Caenorhabditis elegans: one gene and its partner. The protein of the gene in region 1 interacts with the protein of each later gene in a pairwise test. Each region holds a gene or a part of one and is shown in the gene's direction. Other genes may lie near its edges.

What was found.
Region 2: the proteins of gpd-3 (region 1) and lin-2 interact in a two-hybrid assay, tested with the Caenorhabditis elegans proteins (3 studies listed by BioGRID).

Annotation. Positions count from the first base shown.
Region 1 is NC_003284.9:3,111,368-3,115,167, reverse strand, and holds gpd-3 (Glyceraldehyde-3-phosphate dehydrogenase 3), read left to right. Parts: upstream 1-1,826; 5' UTR 1,827-1,846; coding exon 1,847-2,086; intron 2,087-2,135; coding exon 2,136-2,264; intron 2,265-2,311; coding exon 2,312-2,968; 3' UTR 2,969-3,077; downstream 3,078-3,800. Other genes in the region: mai-1 (ATPase inhibitor mai-1, mitochondrial), read left to right, coding at 115-171; gpd-2 (Glyceraldehyde-3-phosphate dehydrogenase 2), read left to right, coding at 481-720, 770-898, 945-1,601.
Region 2 is NC_003284.9:12,410,891-12,415,858, reverse strand, and holds the start of lin-2 (Protein lin-2), read left to right. Parts: upstream 1-1,817; 5' UTR 1,818-1,833; coding exon 1,834-1,907; intron 1,908-1,958; coding exon 1,959-2,071; intron 2,072-2,873; coding exon 2,874-3,057; intron 3,058-4,346; coding exon 4,347-4,442; intron 4,443-4,489; coding exon 4,490-4,572; intron 4,573-4,620; coding exon 4,621-4,796; intron 4,797-4,968. UniProt on the Caenorhabditis elegans protein: May play a structural role in the induction of the vulva. May be required for the localization of signal transduction molecules (such as let-23 receptor) to either the basal membrane domain or the cell junctions.

The DNA of each region.
Region 1 (3,800 bases):
TTAGAGAGACGGGCGACTAGCGAGCATAATGAAGAGATAGATTGGTTTTCACAAACAATCTCTTTTTTTTTGTTTTCCACTACCTTTCAACGTTCTTCAATACTTTCATTTCAGGTTCTCGAACAACATCAGCAACGACTGAAGGAAATCGAGAAAGGACACGGAACATAAAAAATAGAGGGCTTTTCAAACGGCTCTCTGTTCTTTTTGCATCATCATTTTCAATTTTCCCTTTCTTTTTATGCATACTTATTCTCTCCTCTCTATTTTCTCTCTCACACCGCATTTCTTCATCTTGCCTATTGCATCATTTTTTTTTCGCTTACTGCACATGTTTCGTCAAATAGTAAACATGGTTTTTATGGCTTCACTTCATATTCTTCTCTCTTCAATTTGATTCGATTTTCATTTCGATCATTCTATTTTTATTTGTCGTTTGTATGTTAGTTGAACTGATTGTAGTAGTATCAATTTTCAGCCATGCCAAAGCCAAGTGTCGGAATCAACGGATTCGGAAGAATCGGACGTCTTGTCCTCCGCGCCGCTGTCGAGAAGGACAGTGTCAACGTTGTTGCCGTCAACGATCCATTCATCTCCATCGACTACATGGTCTACTTGTTCCAGTACGACTCCACCCACGGACGCTTCAAGGGAACCGTTGCTCACGAGGGAGACTACCTTCTTGTCGCCAAGGAAGGGAAGTCGCAGCACAAGATCAAGGTAGAATATTTTCCAAACATATTTTGTTAAACATTCTCTTAAATTTCAGGTCTACAACTCAAGAGACCCAGCTGAAATCCAATGGGGAGCCTCTGGAGCCGACTATGTCGTTGAGTCCACCGGAGTCTTCACCACCATCGAGAAGGCCAACGCTCACTTGAAGGGAGGAGCCAAGAAGGTAACTTGTAATCAACTTTTGTGCATAAATATATTTAAATTTTTAGGTCATCATCTCTGCTCCATCTGCTGATGCTCCAATGTTCGTCGTCGGAGTCAACCACGAGAAGTACGATCATGCCAACGACCACATCATCTCCAATGCTTCCTGCACCACTAACTGCCTTGCTCCACTTGCCAAGGTCATCAATGACAACTTCGGAATTATTGAGGGACTTATGACCACTGTCCACGCCGTCACCGCCACCCAAAAGACTGTTGACGGACCATCAGGAAAGCTCTGGAGAGACGGACGTGGAGCTGGACAGAACATCATCCCAGCCTCTACTGGAGCCGCTAAGGCTGTTGGAAAGGTTATCCCAGAGCTCAATGGAAAGCTCACCGGAATGGCTTTCCGTGTCCCAACCCCAGATGTGTCTGTTGTTGATCTCACTGCTCGTCTTGAGAAGCCAGCTTCCCTCGATGACATCAAGAAAGTTATCAAGGCTGCCGCTGACGGACCAATGAAGGGAATTCTCGCTTACACTGAGGATCAAGTTGTCTCCACCGACTTTGTCTCCGATACCAACTCTTCCATCTTCGATGCCGGAGCATCCATCTCACTCAACCCACACTTCGTCAAGCTCGTCTCGTGGTACGATAACGAGTTCGGATACTCCAACAGAGTTGTTGATCTCATCTCGTACATCGCCACCAAGGCCTAAGCTGTCTCATCCTACTTTCACCTAGTTAACTGCTTGTCTTAAAATCTATGCTTCTCTTTAGTATCTAAAATTTTCCTAGAAGCTTACAAGTATATAAATGGTCTCTTCTCAATAAAGGTTGTATATTTATTCATCTTATTGAATCTGCCATTTCCTCGTTTTTGCGAGTTTATATACCTTCCAATTTTCTTTCTATTGTATTTTCAACTTCTAATTTTAATTCAGGGAAACTGCTTCAACGCATCATGACCAAGCCAAGTGTCGGAATCAACGGATTCGGAAGAATCGGACGTCTTGTCCTCCGCGCCGCTGTCGAGAAGGACAGTGTCAATGTTGTTGCCGTCAACGATCCATTCATCTCCATCGACTACATGGTCTACTTGTTCCAGTACGATTCCACTCACGGACGCTTCAAGGGAACCGTTGCCCACGAGGGAGACTACCTTCTTGTCGCCAAGGAAGGAAAGTCCCAGCACAAGATCAAGGTAGAATTATTTCCAATTAGATTTCACCTAATATTCTATTCAATTTCAGGTCTACAACTCAAGAGACCCAGCTGAGATCCAATGGGGAGCCTCTGGAGCCGACTATGTCGTTGAGTCCACCGGAGTCTTCACCACCATCGAGAAGGCCAATGCTCACTTGAAGGGAGGAGCCAAGAAGGTAAATTAGTGATTTAATTTTTCAAGATAAATATATTTAAATTTCAGGTCATCATCTCTGCTCCATCTGCTGATGCTCCAATGTTCGTCGTCGGAGTCAACCACGAGAAGTACGATCATGCCAACGACCACATCATCTCCAATGCTTCCTGCACCACTAACTGCCTTGCTCCACTTGCCAAGGTCATCAATGACAACTTCGGAATTATTGAGGGACTTATGACCACTGTCCACGCCGTCACCGCCACCCAAAAGACTGTTGACGGACCATCAGGAAAGCTCTGGAGAGACGGACGTGGAGCTGGACAAAACATCATCCCAGCCTCTACTGGAGCCGCTAAGGCTGTCGGCAAGGTTATCCCAGAGCTCAATGGAAAGCTCACCGGAATGGCTTTCCGTGTCCCAACCCCAGATGTCTCTGTTGTTGATCTCACTGCTCGTCTTGAGAAGCCAGCTTCCCTCGATGACATTAAGAAGGTTATCAAGGCTGCCGCTGACGGACCAATGAAGGGAATTCTCGCTTACACCGAGGATCAAGTTGTCTCCACTGACTTTGTCTCCGATACCAACTCTTCCATCTTCGATGCCGGAGCATCCATCTCACTCAACCCACACTTTGTCAAGCTCGTCTCATGGTACGATAACGAGTTCGGATACTCCAACAGAGTCGTCGACCTTATCTCCTACATTGCTACCAAGGCCTAAGCCGCTTCAAATTCTCTAAGTCTGAAATGAATCTGTAACATAATAAATTCCACATTATTGTAACTTTGATTCTCATTTTCTTTATAAGAATAAATCTTTTAGCTGGAGTAACTAAAACTGTGTTGTTGGATAGAAAGCATTTTTCAATGGCTATATCAAATTTGAAACGTTGAATTCGAACCTTTCACGAGGTTTACACTCATTTATATTCTTCGTTGTGATTGTCCGTCATACAAACCCGATTAAGTTTCCGTCTAGCCTCTATGTTTACATTAAATTGAGAAGCGATGAGAAGTGTCCAGTGTAGAGTGCAATGTGCACTCAAAATGTCGGCACATTGTCACTTTGCTAACATTTTTCCCAGAGTCATTTGGGATACTTGTGTAGTCCCAAAAAATATTAACTATTAAGCTTAGGATTAGTGCTTTTCTAAGCCTGAATAGAAAACTTATTGGAAACAATTTTTGGTCACTTATGTAGTAGATGTATCACAATATATTTTCATAGGATAACTTTTTGTAATGGTAAACTCGTGAGAAATAATTATTTGTAGACCTAAAAATTCCAGATTTAATTTTAAAAATTTAATAATATTTTGGGGTACTTCTACTTTTCATCTACCTTTCCATATTTGATATTTCATTCGCAATTATACAATCTCAGAAAATTCCTATGGTCACGTTATTCTTTGTCGTAGACAGTTGAAAGATGAAGGAAAAAACGAGAATAGATATCACAAAGTCACGTGGCAAAATCCATCAACCTGTTGTTAGTGACGTTATTTTTTGCCTCAAAATGCGGGAAACGATGTACGCATGACTCTGACGAAGTC
Region 2 (4,968 bases), 9.3 Mb from region 1:
AGATTTTGTCATATCTTACAAATCCAAGAAAAAAAAAAGAAAAATGTAATATCTTTCCTTCATCCCTTCCTTTTTATGTAGTTATTTATGTCTTCTTCTTTAATTAAATTTGTTTTTTCTTCTTATTTCCCATTATTTTGCTAACACCTTATTTGTTGAATATTCGATGGAGAGACTAATAATTGAACATTTTTGCATCCCAATTTTTCACAAAGCTAATATTTCGCGGTTTTTGATAGTTGTTTAAGACTGGGATGTATAGTTGGTGTTTCAATTTTGTCTACTCAGTTTTTTTTTCAATTTAAAATTGTTTTTGAAACAAAAACGTAAAAACCATTACATAAAAGTTTATAAGTAATTTAAAAGTTCCATTAAAAACAAAAAATAACCATGGTATAATCAGAGTATACATATATTGGGCATTTCAGAAGCAATAACTTCCAAATAACTTCAATGTGAACTGGAATATATGTAGTGACAAAATGCGAAATACTTAAATTGTGTAAGAGTTTAGTGTATACAGATTAAAATAAACTGACAAACTAAAAAAAAATTATAAAAGTATATATATATATGTCAAAAATTTGAGACTAGTAGTAACCTTAACAGTAAACATATTTTCAGCATGTTTTTGGTATAGCTCTGCACAAAATGGTAGTTTTATGAAATTATTGTGCTCAATGTTATTTCCTTGAAATAAATCTCGATTATTTTTTGAATAGTTACACTTTTTGGTTGAAGTTATTGCACCAAATGGAAATGAATTTTTCAAAAAGTTTTAAGTAGACGTATGAAACGGAAATAAAAAGAGTATGCAGAAAAAGATGCAAACCGAAATTGTTTGAAAAAAAAAACTTTAAAAAATGGCTTTGTTAGCCTTAAAGGAGTTATTGTTTTGAGCATTAGAATTAGATCCCAAGTCATTTGAGAACGTAGGAAAATCAAAATGTAGGTTTCTCTATGTAATTGATCGTAGTAAAACCCATGCACGTAATTGCTTCTATTACATTACATTACGATTTTCATATCAAATAATTTTTTTTCAGCATCTCTCAAACTTAAAGTTTAGTGTTTTGAAAAGATTTCAAATCTGTTTACTGTTTTTGTTACAAATACATCTGGCTAACCCGCCAACTTTGAATAAACACGATACTATTCCGGCAAATTCAGGAATGTTTGCTAAATGACAAATACAGCCGCGTTTCAATAGGAAACTAGAGGTGGAAAAGATGAAAAGTGTCCATATTTGTCTTGATTTCCTCTGCCATGCCGCAATCAAACTTTCTTTCACATAGTTGTTCTGCTTCAATAATTTAAGATTGGATGGTTTGATTTTGCATTTTGCAGAAAATATTATGTTATAAACAAGAAAAAATCCTAAGTTTAACGATTTCCGTCCCCCACGCACTCAAGTTCATTAAAATTAATGACGTAATGCTTACCTCTTTTTATAAGACCGCAACATGAGATTTTCCATCAGACAAGTACCACCTCAAATCCTCAATTTTTTAGTTCTCGAAAGAATGTTGCGGGGTTGATAAAACATGAATCTCTCTTGCAATCATTTATTGACATTATATCTCCTCCTAACGATCAAATCAAATTGGCCGAAAGAAAACGCGTAGAGCCCCCCCCCCCCCCCCCGCCGCCGACCCAAAAAACTGCCATTTTCTCTCCAGTCTCTCTATTTCAATATTCATGCGAGCCTGATATGCTTTTTCAATTTAATAATCATTCACTGTCCCTATGAGTTTTTTTCTGGTTATCTCTTTTTTTTCTTCAACTTTATCATTTGTTTATTCACGTTTATCAGCATTTTTCAGCTAAAACAGAATGAGGGAGCTTGACCCGGACGAGTCGAACCTTCTCCTCGATGAACAACTGTCGATCCGGGATGTGATAGAACAGTAAGATTTTTGAAAATTCAGTTAATTCTTGAAATAACTAAGAATTTCCAGAGGTCCATTTTCAAATGTATACCGAATACTTCATGGACCATCAAATCGAAAATTTTTACTGAGATCAATCAATTTGAATTTGTTCAGACAGCACACCGGGTTAGGATTTGAAGGTACAATTATTGTTATACAGTTGTTACATGGGGTACGACTACATGTAGTAGTCGTATTCCAAAAAAATTCTACGCACCTACTAAAATGATTTGTTCAATTCAAAAGTTGAAGCAGTGTACTTTTGTAGTAGCTGTAGTTGCTCTACTATACAAGTATCAAAAATAGTTTTCTCCCATTTTGATAAAGTCTTTTTTTAATTTTGGTTTTTTGTCTTTACAAAAATTGATAGGTTTTTGTAATGTTAATCGATCTAGTGATGAACTAATATCTTTCGAAAGGAGGCTCAAATGCAGTTAAAAAAAAGTTAATTAGAATAAAAATATCCAATTTCATTGGTTTTCATCCAAATACCATTGAGACCGTTAAAGAAAAGTTTCAACATTTTAAAAACAGGAAGTCATCGTTTCAACACACTGTCTCACAAAAGACTGAATTATTAGTTTTTGATGTTTTTTTTCGAATTGAACAAATTCAGGTGGTTAATACACTTTTTTTTTAAAGTTATGTTTTGACCTTTATTGTGGATTTTGAAGAATAAAAAATTTCTCAAAAAACAACCTGAGTGCACTTTTAAAAATTGAGAAAAAAAAAGTCCCCGCAGCGGATATTATTATTCTCGCCACCAGTTTTCCAATCAGAAGCGCACAAAATGTCCTCAAAGTTCTCATCTCATGAGCTCAGCAGCTCCAATCCCAATTCATCAATCAATCTATCAGCCATCATGTGTCATTTCGAACTTTGATCATTTTACCGAATCCGATCTAAATATAATTATTTCATTCCAAACCATCTCTTTTTCAGAAATCGACGAGGAAATTAGAATATGCCAAAATCTACAGCACCCTTACATATGCCGACTGGAAAAAACTATCAACAGCGTTCATTATCGACATATCATTTTTGAGAACATGGAGGGAAATGATATTTGTTTTGAAATAGTTCAAAGAGCAAGTAATGGATTCGTATTTTCTGAATATGTAGTAAGGTTTGTATTTTTACAATATAGACTGTGTGTCACGGCGTGTAAATTGGGACATCTGGCCTAGCGAAAAGTGAAAAGTGAGAATCCTAGGCCATGGCCGCTGCAAAGCGCGCGAAATTTGAATTTAAATTTTTAATATCATTGAAATTCGATGAATGAGACATTATAATGGATAAAACTGCAAAAATATATACAAAATTGTTTTTAAAATGGATAAATCACATATAACAACGATTATTTTCCTAAATAAAAGTGGAAATTCGATTTATTAGGCAATTATTAGGAAAATTCGACAAAAATGGCACATTTTTGAACTTTTTTCAAAAACTAGATCCACAAATTTTCTGAAATTTCACCAGATTACTCAGTAGACTACTTTAATCAAATTGTGTGCAAAAAATTCATACCCACCGTCACAAGTTCCTATTGAATTTTTCTATTTTAGCTCCGAAAACCACTAAAATTCGACAAAAATGGCACATTTTTGAACTTTTTTCAAAAACTAGATCCACAAATTTTCTGAAATTTCACCAGATTACTCAGTAGACTACTTTAATCAAATTGTGTGCAAAAAATTCATACCCACCGTCACAAGTTCCTATTGAATTTTTCTATTTTAGCTCCGAAAACCACTAAAATTCGACAAAAATGGCACATTTTTGAACTTTTTTCAAAAACTATGCCCACAAAGTTTTTGAAACTTCACCAGTTTACTCGGTAGAGCATTTCAAACAAATTATGTGCATAAAAACCATACCCACCGTCACAAGTTCACATTGAATTTTTCAATTTTAGCTCGGAAATTCACAAAAAATCAGTGAAATTGGCACCAATTTGAAATTTTTTCAAAAACTAGATTCACAAAGGTTTTGAAACTTCACCAATTGACTAAATGAAGGTTTTTGAACAATTTAAGTACATAAAATGTATACCCACCATCACAAGTTTACACTTAAAATTGCTGTTCATTAATGCAGTTCTTCAAACTGCCTTGTTTCGTTTTCTGCGTAGTTCACTTTTTTTTGTATTTGAATTTAATGTAATTTTAGTGTTTCTTTTATTCTTTTCCAAAAAGATAATGCATTTTTTGCTTGAATTCAAGGATATTTTCATATAAAACGAAACCGGGAAGTATTAATTGCTAAAATTTATGTGGACTACGGTAGTCAAGTCCGCAAACACCACGCGCATTTTCATAATTGCGTACATTTGTTTTTCAAGCTTTTTTCTAGGCCAGAGGTACCAATTTACACGCCGTGTGTGTGTAAAAATAATTAGCATAAATTTTTCAGTCACTATACACGGCAGCTCCTAGATGCTCTAGATTACTGTCACACTAGGAAAATTGTTCATAGAGATGTACGGCCTCACAATTTAGTATTAGCGTCGTAAGTTAATTAATATAGAAAAACAACAGTTCAATGTGAACTTTCAGAAAAGATACTTCAGCTCCACTGAAACTGTGTGGATTTGGAGTTGCAAAAGATTTGTCTGAAATTGGTGGTTCAATGGCTTGTGGTATGACTCGTTTTTCAAATGTGCATTCATATAATTTCGAATTTGAAGGTCGAGTAGGTGTACCGCAATTCATGGCTCCAGAGATAGTGCGAAAAGATCGAGTGTCATGCTCGTCGGATATCTGGTCTTCCGGTGTCGTCCTTTTTCTCTTGCTAGCTGGACGATTACCTTTCTCCGGGTCTACTTCCGATATCTATGAAAGGATCATGCAAACAGATGTAGATGTGAGGTTTTTTCGAATAATTTTTCTGGTTGCGCAAGAGAATCGGTTAAAAGCAAAAAAATCGATACAACATAGTTTTTTACATACCAATTAACATTTTTATGGGCCTAGAAAACCTGAATCCTGAATAAGTATTCTATAAAACTTGAAAAACGTATTCCTTCTGGTTTTGC